3 linked regions of the Danio rerio genome follow. Each later gene encodes a partner of the first gene's protein in a complex. Links are inferred from orthologs where the notes say so. Each region holds a gene or a part of one and is shown on either strand. Other genes may lie near its edges. The genes, in order: fga, f2 and fgg.

Evidence for each region.
Region 2: the proteins of fga (region 1) and f2 are in contact, whole or in part, in a crystal structure (PDB 2A45), measured with the Homo sapiens proteins. The link is inferred for Danio rerio from reciprocal best matches to the Homo sapiens genes FGA and F2. Residues at the interface, in NP_000499.1 of Homo sapiens: Trp52, Pro53, Phe54, Cys55, Ser56, Asp57, Glu58; in NP_000497.1 of Homo sapiens: Phe382, Lys384, Ser385, Gln387, Leu423, Arg425, Tyr434, Glu439, Lys440, Ile441, Ser442, Met443, Lys470.
Region 3: the proteins of fga (region 1) and fgg are in contact, whole or in part, in a crystal structure (PDB 3GHG), measured with the Homo sapiens proteins. The link is inferred for Danio rerio from reciprocal best matches to the Homo sapiens genes FGA and FGG. Residues at the interface, in NP_000499.1 of Homo sapiens: Trp60, Asn61, Lys63, Cys64, Pro65, Ser66, Gly67, Met70, Leu73, Ile74, Val77, Asn78, Phe81, Arg84, Ile85, Leu88, Ser91, Tyr95, Asn98, Leu105, Ile109, Ile112, Asp116, Ser119, Arg123, Asp124, Tyr127, Val130, Ser131, Asp133; in NP_068656.2 of Homo sapiens: Thr47, Thr48, Cys49, Gly50, Ile51, Ala52, Asp53, Leu55, Tyr58, Gln59, Val62, Asp63, Leu66, Gln67, Leu69, Glu70, Leu73, Thr80, Ile87, Ile90, Gln91, Tyr94, Glu98, Asp106, Ala107, Ala108, Thr109, Leu110, Ser112, Arg113.

The regions. Positions count from the first base shown.
Region 1 is NC_133176.1:11,470,006-11,480,487, reverse strand, and holds fga (fibrinogen alpha chain precursor), read left to right. Parts: upstream 1-3,788; 5' UTR 3,789-3,912; coding exon 3,913-3,966; intron 3,967-5,180; coding exon 5,181-5,294; intron 5,295-5,629; coding exon 5,630-5,813; intron 5,814-6,697; coding exon 6,698-6,843; intron 6,844-7,264; coding exon 7,265-8,123; intron 8,124-8,343; coding exon 8,344-9,041; 3' UTR 9,042-9,211; downstream 9,212-10,482. UniProt on the Homo sapiens protein: Cleaved by the protease thrombin to yield monomers which, together with fibrinogen beta (FGB) and fibrinogen gamma (FGG), polymerize to form an insoluble fibrin matrix. Fibrin has a major function in hemostasis as one of the primary components of blood clots.
Region 2 is NC_133182.1:38,963,185-38,973,927, forward strand, and holds the start of f2 (prothrombin), read left to right. Parts: upstream 1-3,568; 5' UTR 3,569-3,591; coding exon 3,592-3,712; intron 3,713-3,847; coding exon 3,848-4,005; intron 4,006-4,175; coding exon 4,176-4,200; intron 4,201-4,819; coding exon 4,820-4,891; intron 4,892-5,020; coding exon 5,021-5,126; intron 5,127-5,335; coding exon 5,336-5,466; intron 5,467-6,072; coding exon 6,073-6,384; intron 6,385-8,422; coding exon 8,423-8,530; intron 8,531-8,615; coding exon 8,616-8,742; intron 8,743-9,300; coding exon 9,301-9,468; intron 9,469-9,594; coding exon 9,595-9,768; intron 9,769-10,743. Other genes in the region: znf408 (zinc finger protein 408), read left to right, coding at 18-253, 1,015-2,795. UniProt on the Homo sapiens protein: Thrombin, which cleaves bonds after Arg and Lys, converts fibrinogen to fibrin and activates factors V, VII, VIII, XIII, and, in complex with thrombomodulin, protein C. Functions in blood homeostasis, inflammation and wound healing.
Region 3 is NC_133176.1:27,271,506-27,281,943, reverse strand, and holds the start of fgg (fibrinogen gamma chain precursor), read left to right. Parts: upstream 1-4,065; 5' UTR 4,066-4,101; coding exon 4,102-4,161; intron 4,162-4,244; coding exon 4,245-4,298; intron 4,299-4,815; coding exon 4,816-4,999; intron 5,000-6,862; coding exon 6,863-6,947; intron 6,948-7,059; coding exon 7,060-7,190; intron 7,191-8,339; coding exon 8,340-8,473; intron 8,474-8,591; coding exon 8,592-8,776; intron 8,777-10,373; coding exon 10,374-10,438. UniProt on the Homo sapiens protein: Together with fibrinogen alpha (FGA) and fibrinogen beta (FGB), polymerizes to form an insoluble fibrin matrix. Has a major function in hemostasis as one of the primary components of blood clots.

The sequences.
Region 1 (10,482 bases):
TTAATAAGTCGTAGGGAAGAATGGTGATAACAACTAGATTTTTTTCAACATTATTTACCTGATTTGAAGTTATTTGTCTTAAAAATCAAACGGGAAAGTTTGAAAAGGCTTATGCTTTAATGACATCTAGTGGTCGTTCAAAAGAAAAACTACATATAGATGGTTTTAATCACTTGTTTATTGCAGAAACGTCGTTGTCAAAACTGTTGTGCATAGGAAAAATTTAACTCATCGTCAATGTCAAATCATATAAAATTAATGCATGTAATATAAATACCTGACGTTGCAGTGTCACCCCAAAACCCCGACGCGCATCCAATACGAACAGTTTTATGTGCAGAAGAGCTGTAATGTCTAATATTGTGTCTGTGACGAGAGTCTCTTGCAAAACATCTGACAGTTGCAGATTTAACGTTACTTAAACTGTGTGGATATAAAACACTGTAACCGCAGAAAGGCAGCGGAGAGGTTGAACAAACTTTCACCGTCAGTCGATGCAAACTCCCAGACACGCGCGTGAGATTCGCCATGGTCGCCGAACGCTTTTATTCTTGAAATTATTATTATAATTATTTCTGCGAAGAGACGATTGTATTTACTACAAGTAAACTTGACTGTCTAAAGTACATTCGCGTACTACACGCAATTTCATCCGTGTAGGACAAATAGGTGTTATCGTAGTTCCTATAGGCATATACAGGGCTTTTGTAGAGCGATTAAATGAAGTGTACAAATCCATATGATTTTATAAACATACAAACCGTATTCATATGAGAGGTAAGTGTCGACTTTAATGTTTTAAATAACTTTTGTGAAGGAAAAAAAGGCAAAATATTAGTGATTCAATCTCCGAAGCCTACTTTGATTTTTGCTTTACATCTTTTAATACAGCCTATATGAAATCAAACTAGTTCTGACCGTGTTAAATTAAGCTACTATTGTCCTATTGATTTTTGTCTTTTAAGTCCTGCTGATTGAAATATTCCAAATGTTATGCAATTAAAAAATCAATTCAATGATTAATACATATACAGAGCTTATTCAGTGTAACAGGACCTAAAAGCCTTTATGAAATGTTATAATTATTCATTCATTCATTTTTTCTTTGGCTTAGTCCATTCATTCATCAAGGGTCGCCACAGCAAAATGAACCGCCAACTTATCCAGCATAAGTTTTACACTGTCACTGCGGATGCCCTTCCAGCATCCATACATACTCATTCACACTCATACACTACGGCCAATTTAGTTTATTAATTTCACCTTTAGTGCATGTCTTTGGACTGTGAGGGAAACCGAAGCACCTGGAGGAAACCCACACCAACACGGAGAGAACATGCACAGAAATGCCAACTGACCCAGTGAGTGCTCAGTGCTAATCACTGAGCCATTGTGTCATCCAACCTAATAATAATATACGAGTTTATTGTATAATTTTATCACAGACAATTTCTGCAATAGCCAACATGTTTCTAATTGATAGCCTGAAACATGTAAACTTATGTAATTTAAATAACTTATGTATTTATTTATAATTTATGTAGTTTATATAAGCTTATGTGGATGTTTCCCAGGGATGGGTTGTGGCTGGAAGGGCATCCACTGCTTAAAAAAAAGTGCTGGATAAGTTGGCAGTTTAGTCCGCTGTGGTGACCCTGGATTGATAAAGGGAATGTCAATTATTCAAAGCTGAAAATTCAGCATCATTACTCCAGTATTTATTCACAATATCTGAAGGCTTTCTAATACATTTTGCTGCTCAAAGACTTTTATCAACACTGAAAACTGTTGTGCTGCTAAAATGGCTATATGTGGATTCCAAGATACATTTTCCCCAGATACTTTGCAGGGGAAATAAAAACTATGAAACAATATATTGATCATGGTATATCAGCCTAAGTTCATAAGAACAGCATTTATTTTATGCCTGTTTTTTTAAAGCTTTACATTAGCATTAGCATTCACATATAGGCCTACATAGTGCATGTACAATAAGCATTCAACAAAGTAGAATCATCATTTTGAATGTTTGATTTTAGAAGGAAAATTTTGCCCCCACAATCTTTCATTCTGTTATATTTCTCCATTAATGATACAAACAAAGAGACATTTTCTTGTTCAGAAATCAGATTGTGCAGAAATATTACAAGTAGCCTAACAAGATAAATTGAATGACACTAATTATTTTTTTAATTATCCTTCCAAATCAAACATTCATAATGATGATTCTACTTTGTTGAATGCTTATTGTACATGCACTGTGTAGGCCTATATGTGAATGCTAATGCTAATGTTGAGCTTTCATTGATTCATTAACAGACGAGCTGTGATCTGTATTGTGCAACGAGAGCTAAAACCCACATTCACAACAACCTAAAACAAACATTGATTGTGTAACTAAAAAGAGCAGTCCCAGAACTGATCCTCATGAGTGCATTCTGCTACCTTTCTATGACCTTATGTGCTTACCTTATGTGCTGATTATGTTTTGTATGTGGAAATTGTAATGATGATGTATCCTCTTTGCAAATACGAAATGTAGCCTATGTAAAGAAACCCTTCTGAATCAGAAAACAAGCAATGGTTAGTTCACAACCCAAATTTGCTAAATAAAGTTTAAATGTAAAACAACCTGCTGTGATGTACTGAACACTTAACAAGCTGAGTAAAATGTTTTTGAAAATGTTCACCAAGGCAGCATTTAAAATTTTTATTGATATATATATATATATATATATATATATATATATATATATATATATATATATATATATATATATATATATATATATATATATATATATATATATATATATATATATATATATATATATATACTGTTAATTATGGGCGACGCAGTGGCGCAGCAGGTAGTGCTGTCGCCTTACAGCAAGAAGGTCGCTGGTTCGAGCCTCGGTTGGCATTTCTGTGTGGAGTTTGCATGTTCTCCCTGCATTCGCGTGGGTTTCCTCCAGGGGCTCCGGTTTCCCCCACAGTCCAAAGACATGCAGTACAGGTAAATTAGGTTGGCTAAATTATCTGTCGAGTGTAAGTGTGAATGAGTGTGTTTGTGGATGTTTCCCAGGGATGTGTTGTGGCTTCAAGGGCATCCGCTGCTTAAAAAATACAGTGCTGGATAAGTTGGCAGTTCATTCCGCTGTGGCGACCCTGGATTAATAAAGGGACTAAGCCAAAAAGAAGATGATTGAATGTCAGTTATACAAAGCTGAAAATTCAGCATCATTACTCCTGTATTTATTTACAAAATCTGAAAGCTTTCTTATACATTTTGCTGCTCAAAGACTTTTATCAACATTAAAAACTGTTGTGCTGCTAAATGGGCTATATGTGGATTCCAAGATACATTTTCCCCAGATACTTTGCAGGGGAAATAAAAGCAATGAAACAACATATTGGTTGTGATATATTAGCCTAAGTTCAGATGAACAGCATTTATTTTATACCTAGTTTTTGTAATGTAACGTTTGATAGTTGATTGTTAAATAAAAGCCTTAGCTTCATTAAAACAACAACAATGTTTAAATTATTATCATTATTTTTTTAATAAAGCAATAATGATTGATTGAATTATATTCCATTTATCTGTTCATAGGCCCCAAAGTAAAGTTGAAAGTTAGTCTTCAGTCAGCGTCACTTCTTGTACAAGCATACAGCCTATATTCTCATTCCCGTAAGCTAGTTGATAATAGCTAAATGTTGTGTAATTTGCATCTCTCTCTCTCTCTTTCTCTCTCTCTCTCTCTCTCCATATTTGTTTCTGAAAGGTGTCTGTTCCAGATTGTGGGGGCAGAGAACGATGGTCAATAGTGAGTCAGTGTGTTGATCAATCCCAAAGGTTCATATGTGATGTGAGAGCAGAGACAGTCTGTATTCTGCACAGAGAGGCTGGAGATGAAGTTCACACATTCACTGCTCTGCCTGTTCGTGGCGGTGTCCTCTGCATTGGTGAGTGATATAATGCATTCTATTTTTAAAAAAAGATCAGTATTTTTTATTGTGTTAATGTGTTATTTTTATATTTATGCATATGTGATTTTACTTTAAATCCAATTAATTTTATAATATGTACAGTGCTCAGCATAAATGACTACACACATCACAGAACTCAAAATGAATGGACTTCAAAGTACATAAGATATGCAATTTTAACTTTACATAAGTGCATATAAGTTGTGATGATTAGAAAAGTTAATTTAATTCAACAACAAAAAATGAAGGCAGCAATATATACAGTTGGAGCCAGAATTATTAGCCCCCCTGAATTATTAGACCCCATGTTTATTTTTTCCCCAATTTCTGTTTAACGGAGAGCAGATCTTTTCAACACATTTCTAAACATAATAGTTTTAATAACTCATCGCTAAAAACTGATTTATTTTATCTTTGTCATGATGACAGTAAATAATATTTGACTAGATATTTTTTAAGAAACTTCTATACAGCTTAAAGTGACATTCAAAGGCTTAACTAGGTTAATTAGGTTAACTAGGCAGGTTAGGGTAATTAGGCAAGTTATTGTATAATGATGGCTTGTTCGGTAGACTATCGGAAAAAAATATAGCTTAAAGGGGCTAATAATTTTGACCTTAAAATGGTTTTTAAAAATTTAAAAAAAGCTTTTATTCTAGCTGAAATTAAACAAATAAGACTTTCTCTAGAAGGAAAATATTATCAGACATACTGTGAAAATTTCCTCGCTCTGTTAAACATCATTTAGGAAATATTTAAAAAGAAAATAAAATTCAAAGGGGGCTAATAATTCTGACTTCAACTGTATATTTTTTTTTACAGTGTATAGGATGCTCTACAATAATATATTTGTGCATATACATTAGATTAGTATTTATTTAAGCCAAAACTGGAACTAATCTGACAAAAAAATCGTGAGATCAAAGTCTAAAAATTAGTTAAAATATAGTAAAATTAATAAAAAAAAAAATTATAAAATTTTAATTAATATTAAAAATCAATAGAATAATAAAAAAGATCAAATTTTGTTGGAATGACATGTTTCAATTTAAATGTATTTTCTTGACTACATTCACTGAGAAATGGATAAAATAGTAGTTTTCAAAAGGGTGTACTTATTTGCTGAGCACTGTATGTTAAAATGGCCTATGTTGGCAGACCTAAGTAGTTATAAAGTACTTACTTTTTAGGCCGAGGAGGACACAGTGGTGAACCCTAGAGGCGCTCGTCCTATTGAGCACGGCTTCAAGGCACAAGACACCTGCCAGACAAAAGAATGGCCAGGGTGTACCGATGATGACTGGGTATGGGTTTCTCACTGTTTTTCTTCACTTCGTTCATTCCATCCATCCACCATCATGTGGATGAATGATAACAGCCTTCTAAGCCTATATGCGCAGAGGACCCCTACTGGCCCATATCTGTCAGCTGATAACCACTGATTACGCCCATACAATTGAGTGTAAAACATTCGAGTTGGCTGGATAAAAAATTTCAGACGGCATTTAGAAGTCTTCATATACTACCTATTACTATATATTATATAAGTCATAAATATTGACTCAATAATTAGACAAAACACAAAAATCTCTATCAACAAATTTGTTGCAGTAAATGTTTCTTTCAATCCTCAATATAGGGAAGCAAATGTCCATCTGGCTGCCGAGTTCAAGGCCTCATGGACAAAGCTGACCATGATCTCCTCAAGAAGATTGAGAAGATTCGACGTCTCCTGGTGGAGGGCCAGAAACTATATCGCTCTGCCGATGAAGTGTCCAAAACCACCTATACTTACCTGAGAGAGAAACTGACCTCTAACAGTGGTAAGGATTTGCTTTGGTTCAGTTGTGATCATTTTTGTCCATGATTAAGTTCATTTGTTACGGAGACCCGGAAGAAACGTAATGGTGAGAGTGGAACTGGGATTTTTATTTTGTTTTGATCCCAGATCAACTTCTGTACACGCCATTTAAAGTGACACCTCTGTTATCAAACAAGTGAAGAGCAGCAAATGAATCTAGTTTGGTTTTGTTTGATAACCGAGGTGTCATTTTAAGATTGCACAGATCTATAATGACGGCATTCGATTACTTCAGTAACTGTTTGTGCTCATTTAGGAGAAAATTAGTTGTGTTTAGAAATAAAAACATGCAGGACGGACATGTTTACATATTAAGGTTATTTGTCTGTTTAAACACACAACCGAATCCCAAAGTGTCCTGCACTTTAGCTCCTTTTTAAATGCCGTGTACAAAAGGTGATCTGGGATCAGTTTATCATATAGTGCTTCCGTTAGTCAGTGCTTATACATGCATTCGCTGATTCAGAGGTAGCATATGAAGGGCTACGATCGACGCACAGCTTTAATAGAAAGAAAGTGAATGCAGGCATTTTTATATTATTTTTAACATGCTTTCAAGATCAAAAATATGGGAGAAATATGGGAAAATACTTAATGATAGGATGATAGCGGGATAGAATGGTAAAATACTGGAGAATCGTGGCAAAAATGGGAGGGTTGACATGTATGAAGTGAACAAGAAGTGTTTGTCAGCAACAAGGGAACGCAAAAACTTTAAATCTATATATATAAATTTTCCAACACTCTTTTTTTATCACATCCATTATTTTCCCCCACCATCACTTCCCTTCCGGGTCTCCGTAATTTGTAAAACACACTACAAATCCTCATTTTTCTTCTCCTCAGGTTATGATAACAGGTATATGTCTCTGGCCGAACAACTGAGGCAGAGGATTACTGATATCAAGATTAAAATTGACCGCCAACTTCGACTTCTGGACGCTCTGAAGTCGCAGGTCAAAGATCAAGTTGTTGTAATGCAGCGGCTTGAGGTGAGCAAAATATTTAAAGAAACATTTCACCATGAAGATGACAATTTACTTATTATTTATCCACCCGGGTTACGAGTTTCTTTCTTCTGTTGAACACAAACGATGAGACTTTGAAAAAAGCTGTAAACCTGAAACCATTCACATCTATATGAAAAACAAATACTATAGTCAATGGGTACAATTGTTTGTTTTTCATATGATAGATGTCAATGGTTTCAGGTATACAGCTTTCTTTAGTGTATCTTCTTTTGTGTTCAACAGTAGAAAGAAACTCAAACAGGTTTTGGTTGAACTATCATAAGTCTTAACCAAGTTTTAGCTAAAACGGAGTCTTGGTTTATGTGAAATTTGATCTCTACACTGATTTCTGGAAACAACGGCATCATTAAGTAAACTTTTCCAATATTATCTCCTACCACAGGTTGACATTGACATCAAACTACGCACATGCAAAGGCTCTTGTGCCAGCTACAGCGAGTTCTCGGTGGACAGGGAAAGCTATGTGACTTTGGACAAGCAAATGGACAATCTGAACGCCATGCGTGTACAGAGCGTGGAGACTGTCAGTTCCTTGGGAATCATGAAGAGCAGGCCGTTGAAGGATGTGTTGGTGCCCACCATTTATAAGAGCGGAACGGGCAAAGCTGAGCAGAAGCTGCTTTTTGGAGATGTAGGCCAGATGCAGCTCTCTCTGGAAGCTGAAGGCTCCACTGCCGAATCTGCCGCCACAGTTAGCAAGTTTCCCACATCAGGTACGGGCTCCACATCACAAACCTCCAGCAAGCAGTGCACCAAATCAGTTCGCAAAGTGATAACACACACCAAAGATGGCCCCGTGGAAAAGGTTGAAGTTTCGTCTAGCGGGCCCGGGTGTGATGATTTAGGAAAACTAGGAATTTCAGATTCAGAGTTTTTGACGGCAGCCAAAGATGGGAAAGATTTGAGTCGCGATGGCTTGAAAATAACAGTGACCGGCGGTGATGAAAAGTCCCTCACTTCTCTAAGCCACAGCACTTCTGATCTGGGTGGCTTCGGAGGAGACTTCTTTAAGAATCTTGGCACTGACAACCGAAAGTATGCCTCATCTTCATCCTCAACATCCACAAAGACAGTGTCAGATGGAAGCAAAAGTTACTCAAAGACCACCCTCACTAGCGACCCTATTTTTGGGGATGACCTCGGGGCGTTCATGCGGGGCGACGTGGAAGAAGATATGCCCGACATCCATGCACGCAGTGTGAAATCGCAAGACGATCGCAAGGCTGGCTTTGTTGGCGGAGGTACACTCGAGTGAAACTCTTAACACAAGTGAACCATTGATAAACATAATGATAACACTATTAACAAGAGTTTGTTGGAAACATGTGGACTAACTGATATCTAAGTAAATACCAATCCATCACATTTATTAATACTCACCAAGAAGCAATTGTTTGGATCTCTGGAATGAATTTGCAATGCAGTTTTGCTCTAATCGGCAGGTGTGTAATCTTCTTTCAGATTGCGTTGAAATCCAGCAGAAGCATGTGAACGGCGGTCAGAGCGGGATGTTCAAAATAAAACCAGCGGGGTCTGAGGAGGTAGTAGAGGTTTACTGTGACCAGAGCACTGGGTTGGGGGGATGGACTCTGGTTCAACAGCGGGAGGACGGGTCTGTTAACTTCAACCGCACTTGGAAGGAGTATCTAAATGGTTTCGGACAGATAGACAAGCAGGGTAAGGGCGAGATCTGGATTGGCAACAAATTCCTGCACCTTCTCACTCAGAAAGAAAGTCTTCTGAGGGTGGAGCTGCAGGACTGGACTGGAGCTGAGGCCTACGCTGAGTACAACATTAAAGTTGGCTCGGAGGCTGAAGGTTTCCCGCTGACTGCATCCGATTATGATGGGGATGCAGGAGATGCGTTAGTGAGAGGACATCCCAACCTTGGATCCTTCCTTTCACATGCTGGCATGAAGTTTAGCACCTTTGATAGGGACAGTGATAAGTGGGAGGAAAACTGTGCAGAGATGTATGGTGGAGGGTGGTGGTATAATAACTGCCAGTCAGCCAACCTCAATGGCATTTACTATAAAGGAGGCCAGTATGACCCGGCTACCAAAGTCCCCTATGAGATTGAGAATGGTGTCGTGTGGCTGCCTTTCAAACCAGCTGATTACTCCCTCAAAGTGGTGAGAATGAAGATCAGACCTGTCTGAAATGAAAACATAAAGAGGGGATTAGGGGAAAAAGGATGGATATCTGTTGTTTTGAATGAGCTGTATGATTAATATTCTGCTTGTGTTGAACGTAATACAATGATGATGCAACATACATTTTTACACAACCAGATTACCTCATGTTTCCAATAAAGATGTGTTCACTTTAAGTTCTGGAGTGTGTTTTTATTTAAAAAGGTCTGCTTTCAGAATCATTTTCTGGACGATCTACAGACAAGTTGTAACCACAAAAGCACAATGTGTTCAGATCATTTTGGTTTTCTTTAAGGGGATAGTTCACACAAAAAATTACAATTCTATCATCATTTACTCACCATTCATTTTTGAAAATCTTCTGTCGAACACAAAAAGAAGATTTTCTGAAGAGAGTTTTTATTATAGGAAATAGTATACATTTTTCATATGGAAGTCATTGGTTATTGGTGTTCAGCTTATTTTAGGTTCGACAAGAAAAAAAAACTCAGAAAGCCACTTGAGAGTGAATAGTGAGTATTTGGAGGGGGTGGTGAACTATCGCTTTAAGTTTTCAGTTGATAAAGCTCATTTTAGTCTTTCTCACAAAAATCCACCCCCTAAAATTGCACCATCAGGGGTTCAACAGCTTTTCACCAAAACCATCAATGCTTCATAATGAAACCTTAATAGTGCATAAAGGCCAAATATTTAAAACACTTTTTAGGGGTAGACACACTGAAAACAATGCAGGGTACCATACAATACAACTTATGTCGCCCAAACACAAATCCATTAAGTTAATGTAACTAATTTAAGTTGATTAAACAGAAAACAAGTAGGTTCCACCAAAATCTCCAAAATTTTGTTGTTTCAGCTCATTTTTAATTGGTAGTTTGAACAAGCAGCAAAAAAAAAAAAAAAAAAAAAAACAATGAGTGTAAGTGAGTACTGCTTTATTCACAAATTGTGTCTCTGATGGTACATTTTATTCCCTGACAGAACACCATTACCATCTTCACCAAGAGTTAATGAATAAAAAAAGTCATTTCAAAAACGTTTATTATATTAATTAAATTTAAAATGAGACTACACTGCAAAAAATGCTTTTCTTGCTTAAATTTTTTGTCTTGTTTCTAGTCCAAATATCTAAAAATTCCTAAATCAAGAAGAATTTTCTAGACAAGCAAAACATATTGTCTTGTTTTGAGAAATAATATGTCAATATTAAGTGAGTTTTTCCTTAAAACAAGCAAAATAATCTGCCAATGGGATAAGCAAAATAATCTTACGTCAAAAGAAAAAACAAGATAATTTTTTTTTTACCCCATTGGCAGATTATTTTGCTTGTTTTAAGGAAAAACTCACTTAATATTGGCATATTATTTCTCAAAACAAGACAATATATTTTGCTTAAAATGCTTCTTGATATGAGAAATTTTAGATATTTGGACTTGAAACAAGACAA
Region 2 (10,743 bases), on another chromosome or scaffold:
TAGAACTGCTTTCACAGGTTTGCCTGCAGTGCTCAGAGTGCAGAAGAGAGCAATGTCAGTGTACTTAAAGTGGATGGAAGACTAGGCCTTAAGGTCTGTAGGGATATTCAGCCAGGAACAGAACTGCTCCTTTGGGAAAGTCATCCAGAAGCTGTGACTGAAGAAGAAACGCCTCAAGTAGAAACATGTGAAAACAGAGAACAAGATGAAGCTCTGGAGGCCAACACTTCAGATCACTTCTCAGGCTCTCCATGTGAGTTTATACACAATATTCATTATATCTGTTTAAAGGGCCAGATATAGTGCCTGCAGTGTTTAGCATACTGCTAGCACACTTGTTATTGCTGGACTTCATCTTGAGAGCAGCGTTTAGATAAATATGTAAATGTATGCTATTCCTCTCCAATAACATAATTAAGACACAGCTAATATTACAGCAATAAGAAAATGGCTATTGAGAAAGCATCTGATCATAGTGGTGTGGATTTTTGCAGAATTTATAACACCAATAATAGTTTGAAAGTGTTTACCAAGCTATTTTACCAAATTTCAGAAACAAACACCAATCAAACTTGTGCTGTCCTGATTTTAATGCCGAAACCGTGTCAGTTTGTTCTTTCAGTAAAATGTTGAAGTGTGTTGGTGCCTTAAATGGTCCATTATAGTTAGTTAGTTATTTAGTTTATTTATATAGCACATTTTTACAACACAACATTGCCCAAAGTGCTGAACACAATCAATACTAAAAATAAAGTCTACATCACATACATACTTATATAAGGCATGGGTCTCAAACTGGATTCCTGGAGGGCCGCAGCTCTGCACAGTTTTGCTTCAAACCTAATCAAACACATCTGATCCAACTAATCAAGGTGTTCAAAGCAACTAGAGACTATTAAGCTGGTCTACATAGGTTGGAGCTAAACTATGCAGGCCCTCCAGGAATTGAGTTTGACACCACTGATATAAAGTAGTTCATTTGAAAATGTGATTTTTTTTTTCTTCTTCTATCAGATCTTCTTCAAAGAGTCACACAACAGGATACAAAATCTCCAGTTACAGTAAAAGGTCTTGTGCAGGACAATACAATCTGTAATTCCAATGTCCTTGAGCAGAATGGGATGGAAGAAAGTGAAGCAGAACATAGTGATGAACTTCCTGCAACAGAAGAGATTGAGAGCATCAATGTGAGTGCATCACAGGCCCAGACTTCATCACAATGTCTCACACCAGAAAGAAGCCTGAGAACCAGCTCTCGCCTCGCCTCTAAACCCCGAAAAGTGCACTCATCAGCCAAACGCATCTACAAACGACACGACCCAAAGAACAAGCCAGATCTAAGCAGCAAGAAAAAGCTCTTGAATAGCAAAGACGACTTAATGCAGCCGTTGACAGTTAAAGAAGAATCCAGCACAAAGCAAAACGGGCAGGATTTCCCTCCCTTCAATATCCGAGAGAGGAAGTACAAATGCGAGGAGTGTGATAAAAGCTTCTTTCAACTGTGCCATCTGAAGAAACACAAATACACTCATCAAAATCAGAAGCCATACACGTGCACAGAGTGTGGCAAGTCCTACAGCTCACATGAGAGCTTCCAAGCCCACCTGCTAATGCATCGTGGCCAGAGGCCCTTTAAGTGCGAGCAATGTGACAAAAGCTATGGCTTGAAACGGGACCTCAAGGAGCACCAGGTTCTCCACTCAGGAGAGAAACCGTTTGTCTGTGACATCTGTGGAAAAGCATTCGCTCGTCGGCCCTCGCTACGAGTCCACCGAGAGATCCATCGGACAAAAGAGCCAGACTACCAGGCTTTAAAGGTCAAGTGTCCAGAGTGCGACAAAGAGCTGGCCAATTCGGGTTCTTTGAGGAACCACATGCGTCTGCACACCGGAGAGCGACCGCACATCTGCCCGCACTGTAATAAGTGTTTTCGCCAACGTGGGAATCTGCAAGGACACATGCGCATCCACACAGGAGAAAAACCTTACAGGTGTGACCACTGCGACCTGAGATTTTCTCAAGTACCCGAACTGCGTCGGCATCTGATTTCACACACGGGTGAGGTGTATCTCTGTCCTGTCTGTGGTAAAGCTTTACGGGACCCTCACACGCTTCGCGCTCATGAACGGCTCCATACGGGAGACAGACCTTACAAATGTGAGCAATGCGGGAAAGGGTACACGATGGCAACCAAGCTACGACGCCACCTAAAGTCCCACCTGGAGGAGAAGCAACACGTTTGCCAGGTGTGCGGAGCAAAATACTCAATGATGCAGAGTCTACAGCGGCATCTGCAGCTGCACCAGCCAGACTCTGGACATGCACTGCCAACAAGAGGCAGACCCAAAAGGTTAGGCCAGAAAGAAGAAGAAGAACCTGGTAGGACTGAGAGCAGCGGTTTGGAGGCAGGACAGGCTGTGGCATGCGCTCAAGCCTCAGACCACCTCACTATGGTGACCCACACAGAAGGGATCATTTTGGACTCTGGAACATACCAACATGGCACGATTGTTTTGGGAAAGGGAGCGGAGAAGGAGCTCGATCGGATTGAGCTCAGTGAGGACATTATTGAGATTTTTATTTCTGATGAAAACACCAATATAGTAGTCCAAGAACAGACTTCTAAAGGTTTAAGCCTTCAAGAACAGGAAGTTAATGCTGAATGCACAGTGGAGGCCAGTAGTGACTGTATTGTACTCCCAGAGCAAGATGCTAATAGTTGTTTGGTCATAATCCAAGGGCAGGATGGGCTAAGTTCAGTGGCAGAGACGGTAGAAATTGAGACAGTGGTATGATGGTAGGATTTTCCATTTAAAATATGATCTATTCACATTATGTCACACAAAAAGGAAGAGAAATCGGAAATAAAATGATTCCCTTTTGAATTTAAGTCTTGCTGTTCTTTGATATTTGGGAGGGTTTGCGGCACATATCAGTAAATATTGACTTCAGTGAGCAGTGGACCTTGTTTCATCAATGTTTATACAGACATTGTATGAGTACATCAGGAAAACACAACTGCATTGGGAAATTATTTCTTCTTTGAGGAAAATCTGATGAAGTTGAAGCAAATGATCGCGTCATTCACACTTAAACTATTAAAGTGAAACACTGTGTTTGTTCTTTTTACAAAAAGTACCTAATGATTATTATGAAAAGGATGGATAAGAAGAAGATACCATGAGGACTTACAGAGTTCTTCAGCTACATAGATAAGATAAATACTTTTAAATAATTAAATATATCTTATATTTAAATAGCAAAGCACTGTGTGTACTGTGAAGCATATTGTTTTAATTATAAACATAAGAAATAGCGTAATATGTTTTCACACATCAGTTTACATATCATTAGAGATATGAAGCTGTCATTGTCATGTTTTAAATAATTATATCTGTGATTCATGTTGCTCAGAAAGCAAGGAATGTTCCATTTTGAAGCTGAATGGTGTTCTGATACAGAAGAGGCTTTTGAGTAAAACAAGTACAGACACTTTGTTCTCTTTGAACTCTGGTAGTTCAATATTAACCTGGTGACTCTAGTAAATGCAGCTGTGGGCTTTCTGATTGAGTAGGCAACAGATTCCATGAGATGCTTCAGGTTTTTTCAGGATTACAGGCTCAGTCACTCTCAAGGATGGGAGCCAAACTAGCACCTCTTCTACTCTTCTTAATTTTTGGACAAGTTTTCCATCTCACACTGTGTCATAATGGTAAGACTGTATACACTGTAAAGTTTATCTGCCTTTTTTTCTTGTTAGGTCCTTGTAATAAAGAACAGATAGGATTATAAAGTATTATAATGCATCTAGATATTTTATTAAGAATTGTTTGCGTTTGTGCTGCAGTGTTTATCGATAGTAAGGAAGCCTCTCAGATTATTCGTGCGAAGAGGGCCAACACTGTTTTTGAGGAGTTAAAGCCTGGTAATCTGGAGAGAGAGTGTGTGGAAGAGATCTGTGACCATGAGGAAGCTCGAGAAGTGTTTGAGAGAGTTGATAAAACGGTGAGTACTTCACTTTTTGTTATAGGCTCAGTAGTCCTGATTTAAAATATATTAAAATAACAAAATCTCTCATTAGACCTCTTTCAGTCACGTGTCTTTATAGGATTTCAGTTTGGTTTGATTTAATAGTATTTCATGCTCAACATTTCCTTTTTTCTATTTAATTGCAGGAAATCTTTTGGGCGAAATATTTAGGTAAGTAAAATATATCACCTTACAGAAAGTTTGAGTGCAAACAGTGACAACATTTTGTGTAAACAGTTTCTATTGAACCAGGGACAAAGTGCATTTTTACTGACCTTTCTCTGCACCATATACAAATTAAAAACAAGTGTTTAAACAATCAAACAAATTACCAGAACTGAAAATATGCTACTTATATAAAAATATACATTTAGTTACACATAATTTATATAAAAAAATAAAAAAACAGAGGAGTGATTACAAACAAAATAATCTTACATTAGGATGCCACAATTTGAAATGCTCTATTTTTTAGTTATTTGATTTTTGTATTATTATTATTAATAATAATAATAAAATATATTAAAATTAGGTGTTTAAAAAATACTGACAACTAAAAAAATAATTTTTAGATACTTTTTTGTCGTTGAAATAGATTACCACTCCTGTCTTCTGACCTGTGATTTACAACAGTTGAATCATTAGAATTTAATTGCTTAGACTAAAATATTTTAATATCTGCATCAATATAATTTATGTAAAATGTCAAACCTTCACTTTAAAACTGCTGACATGGCAACTCTGTAATGTCGGTCAAATATTACTCTGTTTCATTTTCATCTGCTCAAAGGCTGTGAAGGAACAACCCTGTCCAGAACACCCCAAAATATTAACAGTTTGAGAATATGTGCGACTACAGAGGGTAAGTGGGATGCATGTTTGCTTACTTTGGTAACAGAATATGCTTGTTGTAACAAAACGAGACATTCTGTTAAGGTGAGTCCTTTCTACATTGTAAAATAACCCAAATTGTTTAATGTGTGATTGATAGGGGACTGTTTCATAAATATTGGAGCAAAGTATGCTGGTAAAGTATCTGTCACCAAGTCTGGAAAGGCATGCCAGTACTGGAAAAGCAACTTTCCCCACAAGATTGAGTATGCACCACTACTCTCGTATTTTTATTGTACTGAACCACCTTTAACAGTGTCTAACTGTGTCATCTCCCAGTGTTGGCCAGTGGGGAAAAACATTTCATATTGATTGAATAGAAAACACAAAAGCCTTCAGTAAAGAAAAGGTTGTTTTGTTTTACATGCCTTTAGTGATGTTCCTCTGTCTTATGATCCATTTGTTTCCCCCGCAGCGAATTTAATGTGACACAGCTGAAGCTACCGGAGAACTTCTGCAGGAACCCAGATAAGCACAAAGATGGCCCTTGGTGTTTTACCAGAGACCCGACTGTCAGGAGGGAGACCTGCAATGTGCCAAAATGTGGTAGAGAAAACTTACTAAAACATAACAGCAAAATGTACTAAAGTGCAGTAACTGGCAGTCAGAAATTTGAAATCAATCAAAACTGTATTATTTATAGCATTTGTTACCATCACCTGTTTGGGCATTGTGTTTATTGCACAGTCCAGGCTTGAGTTAAAGGGATTATTTACCCCAAACATCATTGACTCACCCTATACTCGTTTTAAACATTTCTTTATTCTGTTAAACACAAAAGAAGATATTTTGAAGAAAGCTGGAAATATGTAACCATTGACCTCTATTCATTCATTGACTTTCAGCTTTTTTTTTTTTTTGAGGCTCAGTAAATCATGAATAAGTTATCATTTTTGGTGAACTATCCCTTTAAGATTGTCTGCAGAGTGCCTTTAATTATCTTTTTACAGGTTTTACATTTACTCTACTTTTAACAAAAAATTAGTCTGTCATACTTAAAGAGTTTTTATTTTGTTGTAAAGTATGTAAATTACTGAACAAAAAGGTACACCCAACAGAAAAGTGGACAAAAGAGCTGCATTTGAATACCATCTCTCTCTCTCTCTCTCTCTCTCTCTCTCTCTCTCTCTCTCTCTCTCTCCTCCTCCTCAGGTGAGGCTGTTGTTCCTCCTCCAAAAGCTCCTACTGCAAAACCTGAGCAGCGTCATGTGATAAGCAAATGTCTGCCTGGAAACGGGGAGACCTACACCGGGGAGTTGTTTGTGACTCTGGGGCTACACACCTGCCTGCAGTGGAGCTCCGCAGAAGTACAAGCCTTGATTAAGAAGAAAGAACTTCTGCCTCAAGTTCAGCTGGTGAAGAACCATTGCAGAAACCCAGATGGAGATATGGAGGGTCCCTGGTGTTACATAAAGGCAGCAAGCGGAAACATTACCATTGATTACTGTGATTTAGAGTTGTGCGGTGAGTGAACAGTACTTTCTTTAAAACTTCATTAACCACTAAAAATATTCATATCCTTGCATTGAACCTAGGATCTCCCTTGAAAGGGAGTTCTGCAGCAGACTTAATTAATTAGGATTAAATGTCAGGATTTTAATGAGGCAAAAACACTTCTTAAATGTCAACTGTTAAAGAGTTAGTTCACCCCAGAATGAAGATTCCCTTAAAATACCATTATCATTTCTCAATTCCTTTCTTTAGAACACTAAAGGAAGGAATTTAATTTTTTTTTTTAGAAGTTGAATATTTTTTAATCATATCTGATAGGGCAAGCAGACTTTACATTTAATCTTTACAACATACTAGTATTTATTTTCTATATCTATTTTAGAAGCTAGTATCTTTTTTATCTTGAAATCATTGTCATGTTCAAGAAACCAGTCGGAGATGATTCACGTTTTATGACATGCCGTGTCATCCTGCTGGAAGTAGCCATTAGAAGATGGCCACACAGTGGTCATAAAGGGATGGACATGGTCAGCAACAATACCCTGGTAGGCTGTGGCTTTGCTCCATTGGTACTAATGGGCCCAGAGCATGAGAAGAATTTATTCCCCACATCATTACACCTCCACCACCACCACCAGCCTAACCCATTGATACAAGGCAGGATGGATCCATGCTTTCATATTGTTGATACCAAATTCTGACCCTACCATCCGAATGTTGCAGCAGAAATCGAGGCTAATCAGACCAGGCAACATTTTTTCCAATCTTCTATTGTCCAATTTTGGTTAGCTTGTGCTAATTGTAGCCTCAGTTTCCTGTTCTTAGCTGACAGGAGTGGCACTCGGTGTAGTGTTCTGCTGTTGTATCCCATCTGGCTCAAGGTTAGATGTGTTGTGCATTCAGAGATGCTCTTATGCTTACCTCGGTTGTAACAAGTAGTTATTTGAGTTACTGTTGTCTTTCTGTCAGCTCTTCTGGCCATTCTCCTCTGACCTCTGGCTTCAACAAGGCATTTGCGCCCACAGAACTGTCGCTCACTGGATATTTTTTTTTACCTTTCTCTGTAAACCCTAGAGATGGTTGTGCATGAAAATCCCAGTAGATCAGCAGTTTCTGAAATACTCAGATCAGCCCGTTTGGCAACAACAACCATGCCATGTTCAAAGTCATTTTGATGCTCGGTTTTAACTGCAGCAGATCGTCTTGACCATGTCTCCATGCCATAATGCATTGAGTTGCTGCCATGTGATTGGCTGATTAGAAATTTGCATTAATGAGCAGTTGGACAGTTGTAAAGTGGCCGGTGAGTGTATATAACAAATATGTACTAGTCACAACTGTATTAAATAATAACTCATAAATAGCCTATAAAAAATTCACCAGCAAATATCTAGTTGTCACTATTGAAACTGAAGTAATAAAATGCAATGAATTGATATTAGTGTCAAATGAATCACTAGTATCTGTTTAATTGGTAGTACCCGGTGAATAAATGCCAGTATCTTATAATAAGAAGTTGCAATTAATAACCATAAGAACAAGGTACCTAAAAATAAAAAAATAAACATTAGTAGCCTATTAATAATTGTTATTAAATAATAGAAAAGATCATCATAGTAGCTGAAGTGCTAGTAAAACTACTAGTGATGTGAAAATAAATAGTATGATTAGACTAAGACCAAATGTTAAAATGTTATGCCATACATCTAAGAGATTTCTGTCCCACAAGAACCAATCTGGTATGGTTGAGTTTCTGTTAATATATAATGTAAAGATTTTCTAACCAAACCTTGCATTAAACTCATGTGGATTTGTTTTTTAATCTCTTTATAAATGTTTTTAAGTATCAAAGTTTGGGGTGAATGAAGCAGGGCAAACATTTCTAAGATTTTATTAATATATATATTATGTTCAGAGTGATCATCAGTTTGAAATGAAATAAGGGTGAATAAAATATTATGGTAAAAAATTTACAAATCCTTAAACAAAACTTCATAAATCACACAGCACACACAGCATACATAATCCTGCCTTTGTCATTCACTCTCAGATGCTCCTTTGGACAAGTTTGTGGAGGAAGGTGGTGGACGAGAAAGAACAACTCTAGACCAAAGGAAAGCTTTCTTTAACCCCCGCAGCTTTGGAAACGGAGAGCTAGGTTAGAATCTAATACATTCACTAAAGGTCTGAGCTCTTGTACGATCCACTAATAATTAATATGATGCTCCCGCGTTGTTCTACAGACTGTGGAGAGCGCCCCTTGTTTGAGAAGATCAACAAAGCAGACAAGAATGAGAAGGAGCTTCTGATGTCCTATACTGGAAGCAGAATTGTGGGAGGAGACGAGGCTGAAGTGGCTAGCGCTCCATGGTAAAAACATGACAGGGCCTCTTTTTAAATGTTCAGATTTCTTGGCAACATCAGTCATGACAACAGCTAATGCCACATGTTTACCTTACCTTTAGACCAGGGGTGCTTGACACTGTTGCTGGAGATCTACCTTCCTGCAGAGTTCAGCTGCAACCTTGATCAAACACACCTGTCTTTAATTAACAAGTTCAGATCCTACTTAATTAGTTCAGGTGTGTTTGATCAGGGTTAGAGCTAAACTCTGCAGGAAGGTAGATTCCCAGGAACAGGGTTAAGCATGCCTGCTTTAGACATTAAGCAGGTGATTTTATAAAAAGTGACTTACAAAGAGGAGACATCAAGTGATTCATTGTAAAGAAACAATACTCACAGTGCTTCAAATACAAAGCTTCTCATTTTGATAGAGAAATACAAGCTATTATAGGTTTTTAACATTGCTTGTGTTTCAGAAATCTGTATGTGATTGGAGAGAGTTCCTTCAGTGAGGAACAGTAACTGTAAATGTTCTGGAAAGTGATAAAAAGCCTCTTTGCAATGGTTGTTTGATGTGATTTGCAGGCAGGTGATGCTGTATAAGCGTAGCCCTCAGGAGCTGCTGTGTGGAGCCAGTCTGATCAGTGATGAATGGATTCTCACCGCTGCCCACTGCATTCTCTACCCGCCGTGGAACAAGAACTTCACAATCAATGACATCATCGTCCGCCTTGGAAAACACTCTCGTACTAAGTGAGCCCTCCAAAAATTCCTTCATGGATTTCTTTTGCTTGTTCTAAAAGCTGAAATAAAAGTAAACAATAACCCTCAGTTAACAGAATGAGCTGCTGAACATTTTCCTGTTTCTCTCTTAATCAGGTATGAGAGAGGCATCGAGAAGATTGTGGCCATTGATGAAATCATTGTCCACCCTAAATACAACTGGAAAGAAAACCTAAACCGAGACATTGCTCTTCTCCACATGAAGAAGCCTGTCGTTTTTACGAGTGAGATCCACCCTGTCTGTCTGCCCACCAAGAGCATTGCAAAGAAGTAAGGAAAATCCGATAGTATAATATATATAATCCATGTATAAACCTGCAGGGCACTGTAGTTTCTCTGGATTAGCTAAGTTTATTAGATATGGGTTATAGTAAAATGTTAATCTTTTTTTATAAAGGTCTTTTACATTTTAAGTATAAATATTGTCATGTAGAAAAGACAGTTGGCTAGAATAACAAGGCTGTGTCGAAAGCTTAGTCAGCTGCCTTGTTTTCTTGCTATCGGGCACTGACCTTAGAGGCAGCGTTTGTGCATGAAGGCACCTCATAACACTGATTTCAGACAGACTTCTGAGACAGCATAATGATTCATGTACAAGCACAACAAGATAGAGAGAGCTTTGGTGATAACAAAGAGAATGTTTCCTTTCTACTAAACTCCCTTCCCCACAAGAAATGCCATCAAAAGTGGAACATGTTGGTTAAATATTGTACATTTACAAGCAAAATTACTGAAATTTGAAATGCCGCTTGAAATGTCACAGCAGTATAGAATATAAAAGCAGTGATGAAAACATAGATTAGTTGAAGGTTCCTCTCAAGACAGGAACTATTTACATTCTGATGTGCCTTGTTACCTTCTCGCCTTGGAATGCTGCTTTTGAAGGCAGCATCATAGGGCTTTCAGATGCAGCCCAAATGTTTTCTTTATAAAATGGGATTTAAAATCAAGTTTACTCCACTTTAACTTCCTTCAGAAGTTAAATCACACACACACACATATATATATATATATATATATATATATATATATATATATATATATATATATATATATATAGTAATACTTTAGTTTAAGTTAAAATTCACACAATTTACTACTGGCTTATTACCTGCCAGTAATAAGCTCTTATAAAACCTAATAGCTCTTATAAAGTATGATTATTTTACATCCCTAATCCTACCTCATACCTAGGGCCACAGAATCTGCAGCCATTTTTTGCTATTTCTACTAAATATTTATGCC
Region 3 (10,438 bases), about 16 Mb from region 1:
CTAAACTGTGCAGAGCTGCGGAAGTTTGGCACCTGTGTTCTAAACAGTGACATGTCTACAGTACTACACAAAGTATCAATTACTTTGATTGTACTGCAACACCGTTGCGTTGGCAGGCAAGGAAATGTATTGTTTAAACTCATAATTTACCTTATAATCTAAGAGAATAGTGGACATGCATGTTGCTGGAGTTGCTCTTTGGTGTTTCAGCTGTGTTATATTACACTGAACTGAGCCGAATCCAACTGTGAAAACTGAACAGATGCAGTTTACTTTACTAGAACTTCATCTATGTTAAGATGTTTCAACACAATATTGTAAAAAGAACATGGGGGGAGAGGATGTTTGCAATTTAAATTCAGCATTATTTTCTTAATTTTTTTTGTTGTGAATATAGTTTTTTTTATCTCTTCTATGTTAATTCATCCACAATGTTGAAAATGTATTTTTCTTACTCTTGAAATACATTTTTGACATATTTTCATTTTCAAAAATATACAAGTTTTAGCTAGCATGGTGTTCAGCCTGCCAAAACTGATGACCAGCTAAAAACAACTAAAGCCTCAGCAGGATCTGTTAAACTTGTATCTGCATGTGCAACAATGTTCCAGATGAGCTACAGAGCAAATTAGAAAAGCCACATGTGTGGATAGGCTACTAATATGTTATGCAAACAATTAATATGTAAAAAAAAATTCATTGTATTTTTTTGGATTATGTGGAAGCTGCTTAAATAAAGCTATTGATGGGAGCTGTATGAAACTTGACAGTATTGCAAGTTTCAGAGATTGAACTTGTTTGAAAATTTGACAAAGATTAAAGGCACAATATGTTAGATTTTTCATTAAAATATGAATATTATAACATTTTCCTAAATGTTTTGAAGAATGTTCATTTCCACAGAAATAAGCAATTTTTACTTGTAACACCGTTTCCTGTGTCAACATGTTAATAAAATCACACATCCTTGATTTTCGATTAGCTTTCTTAAAACATGGAAACATCAAAAACTCTTTATTGTGCTACACATTTTATTAGATTGCACAGAGCAAAAATTTTACAGAAAATTTAAAATGATAAAACAGTGTTGCTTCTTGCCCATATGATCCCTACCAGAAGAACCAGAAGCAGTGGACTGTCATAATTAAAGCTTTGCTGCTTTCATGGTGCCTCGTGCTCATCCCCCATCAGCAATTGTTTCAGCAACCCTGTTTCGCTTTAATGGTTTACAACCTTATCTGCTTCATTTTAAATTCTTTAGTTCATCCATGAACATGATTTCTTCTGGAGTCCTGTAAGATGCATTGAAGACAACAACTCCCATTCCACACTCATAACATCATCAAACTATGCCTTTATTTGTTAAAATGACATGCTGTCCCTTCATTTGTATGTATTTATATCTGTTACTGTTAGACTCCCCAGGAAAAAAAAAAACTTATATTAATCTCTATGTTTGCTCTAATGTTTTTCTCTATGCTTGTAATTAGTTTGTTATACTTTTATGCTAATGTATTCCCTTATGAAATAATCTCAGTCAATCTAAAATGATTCATTCTTTCCCAATAGAGCAATTCAAGTCATCTGGTGAAATTGTATTTGTATTTATATGGCAGAATAATTTAATAGCACAATGTCAATGTTTTCTGTAATATCATGCAGTCCCAAATTGTACTGAGTTAGGGAAGAGCTGTCCCAGTGCTTAAAATACTCTTAAAATGTCAACATCAAAACTTTCAGTTTGATTCTGGTCACAACTGGCTTGTTTTAGTTGACCAAAGATATGTGGCTGGTGCACATTGGATCTTGGTCTCTGCACACTTTGGTTTCAGTTGTAATATGACAAAATGCATATTATACAGAAACAACAAACCTTAGAATCAGCTTGTGCTGAATATGTGCTGAGAGTTAGCTTTCATTAGCCTTCTCAGGCAATGGGGCCCCGGATCAGTCTAAGACTCAAGGCCACTGGCCCCATAATCCAGTTCAGTCTGAATATCTTCCTCAATTCCAGTTCTTTCTTTCTTTCTTTCTTTCTTTCTTTCTTTCTTTCTTTCTTTCTTTCTTTCTTTCTTTCTTTCTTTCTTTCTTTCTTTCTTTCTTTCTTTCTTTTTTTTATTGCATTGCATTGCATTCACATAAACGATGAAGCCCATAGTCACCTTTCTTTAAAAAAAATAAGAAAAAAATTCAATTGGCAATATTTTCACTCACTTTACTAGTCCCACCCCTAAAATCCACACACATGTGACACACAGAATAAAGAGAATACAAACACTTCAATATTACAAAACCAGCTTCAATAAACCAGCAAATGTACCTAGGGTTTTTGACAACAAAAGCTTCTCAGGAGATTTTTTAGTGTCAGTATTCAAAAAAAAAAAGTTATTGTGATTTATATTTCTCAAATGTGGAAGAAATGTGTATTATTATTATTATTATTATCTTTTTATTATTATTATTATTATTATTATTATTATTATTATTATTATTATTATTATTATTTTATTATTATTATTATTATTATTATTATTATTATTATTATTATTATTATTATTATTATTATTATCTGCTACGAAACTATTGTTATTTAAACACAGACAATACAGTATGAATAACGTACAATACAAACAGATTTCTACCCATTCATCTAAAATCAAGATTACCAAGGCATAGGGTAGTAGTTCATCTCAATTCATTTTAATAAAGGTCATTCATTTTTAACAGCTGCACAAGATTTTTGATATGCAACATCCCCTAGTGGTTCATTCGGTTAAGACATGTTCATAGTCCAGATCAGCTTTGGTACTGATGTTTGTAGCCTTAAAAACAATTGAGCAACCATATTAATATTTAAAGTGACTAAAAAGTCATAGTATTCAGTCTTTAAAAACTCAAACAAAGTCGAACAGCACTTTATTAAAACCTCTAGAACTTTAGAACTCTTAATTCTACTTTTCCTCCTCATTTATTCCCACTCAAGTGATTCTAAATTTATGTATTTATTGCTTCTTGCTGATTTTTCCCAACATTCTTTGGTGTATATTCCTTTGTGTCCAACAAAAGAAAGAAACTAGCTATTTAATGTTTAACGTGTTTGATCTTGAAATTAAATTTAATGTTAATCTAATTTATTTTGCTTCTTTTTTTCTCTAATAGCTTTATATTATTTGCTTTGCTTATTACCATGAAAAAGAAGGAAATTTATTTATTTATTTATTTATTTATTTATTTATTTATTTATTTATTTATTTATTTATTTACTAACTATTGATACTTTGCTTTGGTCATTACCAGTACATTTGAAAAAAAAATGCATTTTTGTTCTTACTGGTGAGTCAGTATGTCAGCAAAAGTGTATGTTTGTCTGTGTGTGGGTACATGTTGTTAAAGTATTTGTGGAACATTTAATCTTCCAACACTAGAAAAGAAAAATTGACAAATCATTAACTTAAAACTGACTGGATAGTGACCCACAAGTTCTGTAGCAATGGCTCATTGCTGCGTCAAGGCAAATAATCAGTTTGTTTGATTGTTTATGTGTTTTAGGCCAATGCATAAGTACATTTACAAATACTGACATGCAGTGATTTAAATCCTTTAAAATCAAGGGATACAGTAGTGGGAAACCAATGATTAGTTAGTCTCAAAGTAAATTTTGTGAAAAACAGTTAATAAAATAGTATGTTTCAAAGAAAGCAAAATGAATGTTATTTTATGAGAACATATTCTTGTTTTCACAATTATTAGTTAAACTGTTAAAAAAGGTTTCTAATGCAACTTTACTCTACAATCTCCAAACTTTGTTTTTGATGGAAAAAAAAATCAAACCTGTAAATAAATAAATCATTTTAAATGTCTTAAATGTCCTGATCCACTAGCACTATGTACTAACATGATGGACACGTTGACCAACGTATATATGCATCATTTACGGTTAGTTTGGAGTCACACAGTGAGTAATAGAGGGGTGGTTTTAGCTCTTGTTTGAAGAGTGAACCGTTATCTCCATCTCCAAAGAGGACCTTGATCGGATAAATATCCTGCAACAGTCAACAGAAACTCACAATCTCAAGGGTATACCACACAGACAGGTCCGACATGGGCTCGATCATGCATGTGGTTGCTTCCATTGTGCTGCTGTGCACATTAACATCAGCGGTGAGTGACAGTTATTATATTTTATTATAAAACATTATAATGTCTTTGTTACTCATTTTCTTTTCTCCCTTATTTATTTTAAGCAAAGAGGAGACTACTCACCATCACATGATTTGTGCAACCCTAATGATGGGTTTGTAAGTACAAATTCTTTATGTTTTGGATTTTTTTAACTAATAAACTCTGTAACACTTTAATTAATATCAAAAGGATATTCAAATGGACCATCAAAATAATGTCCTTACTTATTAATGCCATTAAAGTATTAGTAGACTGTCTGCCTAAAGGGATAGTTCACCCAAAAATAACAAATTATGTCACATTTTGCTCTCCCTCTACTTGGTCCAAATATGTTTGACTTTTTTTCTTCTGTTTCTACTGTTTTTTCAATTTCTGTTATGACTTTCTATTGTGATGATCTCCCTATAGACATTCTACTGACTATAAGTAACGATATAATTAGTTTGCAAGCACAGGTCAACCAATTAAAATAAGTATTTACCAGTCTCCCATTACTGTACTAATCATATGAGAATTAGAAATGTAGATGCATTGATATAACGTTATAATCAACAAAATGAGTTGAAGGGACGCTGATTTTTGTACGATTTTATTTTGATAGTAAGATTGACACTTGGTTCCTCTCTTTTTCAGGGAACATACTGTCCAACAACATGTGGAGTCGCTGATTACTTGCAGAGGTACAAGCCTGATATGGACAAAAAGCTGGATGATATGGAACAGGATTTGGAAGAGATCGCCAACCTCACCAGAGGAGCTCAAGACAAAGTGGTCTACCTGAAAGATTCAGAAGCACAAGCACAAAAACAATCACCAGGTAGCACAATTTATCATTAATTATGATATTATTTAAGCCCTGAATGTCATAAAAATTGCCATATGGTGTAAGCATCAGGCAGAGGTAATTGCATTTGTCTAAAGCCTTAAACAAATATTTATACAAATGAATATGTATGTGTATATTTGCACACATATGCGCAAACACATTCCTTGATTCATTTTCCTTTGGCTCAGTCCCTGATTTATCAGAAGTCACCACATATATACAGTATACACTTACCGGCCACTTTATTAGGTACACATTACTAGTCCCACGTTGGACCCCCTTTTGCCTTATTCCTTCATGGCATAGGTTCAACAAGGTTCTGAAAATAAGGTACTGGAAACAAGGTACTGCAAATATGGAAATATACTGGAAATATTGCTCAGAGATTTTGTTCCATATTGACATGATAACATCATGCAGATTTGTCAGTTGCACATTCATGATGCGAATCTCCTGTTCCACCACATCCCAAAGGTGCTCTATTGGAATGAGATCTAGTGACTGTAGAGTCCATTTGAACTCCTTGTCATGTTCAAGAAACCAGACTGAGATGATTTGCGCTTTATGACAACGCGTTATACTGCTGGAAGTAACCATCAGAAGATGGGTACACTGTGGTCACACCATTACACCACCATCAGCAGCCTGAATCGTTGATATAAGGCAGGATGGATCCATGTTTTCATGTGGTTGATGCCAAATCCTGAGTTTACCATCTAAATGTTGCAGCAGAAATCGAAACTCATCAGATCAGGCAACATATTTCCAATATTCTATTGTCCAATTTAGTGAACCTGTGTGAATTGTAGCCTCAGTTTCCTGTTCTTAGCTGACAGGAGTGGCACCCGTTGTTGTCTGCTGCTGTAGCCCATCCACCTCAAGGTTGAAGGTGCTGCCTCTATGTGTTTGTGTATCTTTGTGCTTATTTATTATCAGCAGGTATCTTTATTAATTTATTTTTATTTTTCACTTTATTTATTTTCATTCTTTTCATAAATTTTTTTTGGCTTAGTCCCTTTATTAATCTGGTGCCGCCACAGCGGAATGAACCGCATCCTTACCCAGCATATGCAACCCATCTCTGGGAAACATCCATACACACTTATTCACACTCATACACTACGGACAATTTAGCTTACTCAATTCACCTGTACCACATGACTTTGCACTGTGGGGGAAACCAGAGCAACTGGAGGAAACCAACGCGAATGCAGAGAAAACATGCAAACTCCACACAGAAACACCAACTGACTTAGCCGAGTCTTGAACCAGCGACCTTCTTGCTGTGAGGCGACAGCACTTACTGTGACACCGCTTCACCTTTATTTATTTTTATTATTTAATTTTTATTTACTCATAAATAAAATGGGGTTAGTTGGACAACATGCCATTTTTCTGAAAATTACTTGGAATTTTGTTTCTCACTCACTATCCTTCGGCTTAGTCCCTGTTTTATCAGGGCTTGCCACAGTAGAATGAACTGCCAATTACTCTGGCATATATTTTATGTGGCGGACGCCTTTCCAGCCGCAACCCAGCAGCAAGAGTACACTAACCCATGAATCCCTAGTGCTGGGAAACACCCATACATTAATTTATACACACTATAGCCAATTTAGTTTGTCCAATTGAGCTATACCACAAATGTTTGGACTGTTGGGGAAACTGGAGCACCCAGAGGAAACCCATGCAAACATGCAAACTCCACACAGAAATCCTAGCTGGTCTAACAGGGACTCACTAGTGCTTACCACTGAGCCACCGTGCCACCCCACAAAATCATTTTATCGTTTACCAAATTTGTTATTTTTCAGTACCTGTAAACCTTAATTTTCTTTACTATCTTTTTGTCAGATACTTACATTAAAAAGTCTTCAAATATGCTGGATGATATACTACGATTTGAGAAGAGCATTCTCGCTCAGGAAGAACAAATATAGTAAGCAAATTTCCTTCTCATCTATATTATAGTGTATAAAAAAGTGAATTAAAAATCATGATGTAAAAATATATTATTCCATTAAAATATACATTTCCATATTTCTCCACAGTCAACTGCAGTCAGTCCTTCAAGCTAACGAGAAAAAAATAACGGATTTAAAGCAGATGTCTATGCAGCTGGACCAAATGTGCAAAGAGCCCTGCAAAGACACTGTGGAGATTCAGACAGTCACTGGCAAAGGTAAAGATTTAAACTTGAGCAAAATTCATGTTTATGACAATTGACATGCATACAGTATATACAGTATATATTAGTTTACTTTGCTTAAAGGACCCATAAAGTGCTTTGAAATGTGCAATTTTTTGATGTTTGACGTAATCTCAAATATGAATAGAGGGTGGGGTATAGTTGCTCCTCCCCTTCAAAAACAAGAGCATTTTGTTATCTCACACCACTTCCAGTGAGAGTGGTTGAGCTCAAGGGCAACAAATGAAAAGCAAATGAAAGACCTCTTGAAGGGGGTGGGGCATGTCAGATACTAGAAAGCATTTGATTGGTCAAGATTTGATGAGAAACTGAAGGATGAGGTTACGTCAAAAAAGGGTTATTCCATTTATAGGTATAAGTGACAAACTGCAAGCTTTTGATGTTTATATCAGGTTAATATCTTCTAAATACAAATTTTGTCACTGTTTTGGAGTAAACTAGATTATAGATTATTTTAGTTTCATGGAACTTTTATAAGAGCGAAACAGTTTGCCTTAAATTTTTTAATGAAATACGGTTGAAGTCAGAAATATTAGCCCCCCTTTTGAATTTTTGTTTCTTTTTTTAAATATTTCTCAAATGATGTTTAACAGAGCAAGGACATTTTCACAGTATGTCTGATAACATTTTTTCTTTAGGAGAATGTCTTATAATAAATATATTAAAGTTCTGGTATAAAGTCTTATAACTTGCCTAATTACCCTATCCTGCCTAGTTAACTTAATTAACCTAGTTAAGCCTTTAAATGTCACTTTAAGCTGTATAGAAGTGCCTTGAAAAATATGTAGTAAAATATTATTTACTGTCGTCATGGGAAAGATAAAATAAATGAGTTATTAGAAATGAGTTATTAAAACTATTATGTGTAGAAATGAGTTTAAAAAAATATTCTCTCCATTAAACAGAAATTGGGGAAAAATAAACAGGGGGCTAATAACTCAGGGGGGGGCTAATAATTCTGACTTCAACTGTATGTGCATAACTACGTATAAAAAAAAAAAGAAAGTTAAATCAACTTAACAGTTCCAAGTTAAAACGGGTTTACTCAATTTTTAAAGTAAAGTCAATAATCACTCTTAACAGTGTATATAATAAGAAAACTTATGTATGTCATGTGCCCAGATTGTCAGGACATTGCAAACAAAGGTGGTAAGGTCAGCGGGCTGTATTATGTGAAACCAGCCAGAGCCCCTGAAGCATTCCTGGTCTACTGTGAAATCGACAGCTTTGGACGTGGATGGACTGTACTTCAGAGGGTATAAGACACAACAGAAAATGCACAGTGACACAAACTCCTTTCGAAAAATGACCTGCACAAAACAAACTTTTAACAGACAACTTTATTGATTCTTTATTGATGTATGTTTTTCTCAGAGGCGGGATGGCAGCGTTGACTTCAGCAAAAACTGGATCCAGTATAAGGAAGGCTTTGGTTACCTCTCACCCGATGACAGGACTGAGTTCTGGTTGGGAAATGAGAAGATACATCTGCTGTCAGTTCAGTCCAGCGTGCCTTATGTGCTGAGGATAGAGATGGTCGATTGGGAAGGCAACAAAAAGTGAGAACTTTCTTTTTCATATTTGACACATAGCTTTAGGTCTTCAATCTTCCAAGTGGTGCTCCTCAATTGCATTTCATTACATTTATGCACAGGTTAGACATTTCCCAGCAAGAAATGTTGTTATATAAATCTATAAATCTGTTGCATAAATCTATAAGACATCTATCATTTATCAAAAAATAGACAAGTGATTAAATAAAGAAATTACACAGATTTCACATGTGTACACTTTAAAAAAAAAAGCCATTTATGTATCATTTTGAATAACATTATGAGTGCTCGATCTTTTATCCAATAACTTTTGATGATGAAAAGTTTGAAAAGGTGACTTGTATTGACATTTTGTCTGAATTGGTGTTGTAAATTATGGTTGAAAATCTGGTAATAAACTGCCAGCACTTTAATAATTTTCTTTTAACATCAAAAGTCAACAGAGATCAAGGTCTTCATTCATTTATTTTATTTTCGCTACATTTATTTTTTCGGTAAATTTATTTACGGTACATATACATATTTATTTTCGGTTTCGGTTTTTATTTTCTTCGCTACAGCTGAATGAACCACCGTCAATGTCTTATAATGCAATTCATAACCATAAAGCGTATGATATGACTGGTCACGGCTGGCTTCCCACCTGTAATCACTTATAATCCAATCAGATTGATCCATGGTTACAACAAGACCGAATTTCACTCTACTGCCTTATCTTCATTTTTGAAGAATCCCCTCTTCCACCCCATCTCCTCCTTTTCCTCCCTTTTCCAGGGGGAGCTCTCGAGACCTACCTGATCTTAGATCTTAAATGCTTATTGACTGACGGGAGCCTAGGGCTCAATTATCTCAGAGCTCAGGGTTTTCCCCCAGGACAGCATGCCAAATCTGCTATTAATGTCAAGTATATCTAAGTGTGAACTCCTGAATTAACTAATGTTTTTAAAGTGTTGTCATTCATCCCTTTGGTGCCATTCAGTCATTATTTGTTGACTGCTGCAAGGTGTCAACTAGATTTTAACTGACAGCTCAAATTTAGCCTTGTTTTAGCCAAGATGTCTATGTTTAGACATCTATAAGATGTATTTTAAACACTTCTAAATTTAGGGCAAACATTTCTATGTAACTATTTTTGTTTATGTTTTGTATAAATATTTTTGTAATAAAAAAAATGAAGAGAAAAAAAGCATGATAAACCAACCATAAACATTACTGTCACTTGGGTTATGAGCAAATCATATGAAAATGTACACAAATTCATAAGAATTGGATAACAGTTCAGTACAGCAGTTTAAGCAGTTTAATTATAAAAGATTGTGTTAATAAATTCATACATTGCATGGGAATCAAACACATAACCTCTAGCAGTGTGCTCTAGGATTTACAAGAACAGTTAGACCTAAGCAAGAACTGCCAATGAATTCCACAAAAAAAATCCAAAAGTGTTCAATATCTGCAGTTGTCAAACAAGACTTTGCTCTGCCATAATTGATTTTTGCCAAGTAACATTTCATGACCTCCTCAGCCAGATCAAACATGCTGCTGAGCATTAGAGCACTCAATATTCAATGGATTGTGTTATAAATGTGTCTTACTTTCTCAGATATGCAGACTATGCCACTTTCAAACTTGGACCAGAAGTTGATGCTTACCGCTTGACATACGCTT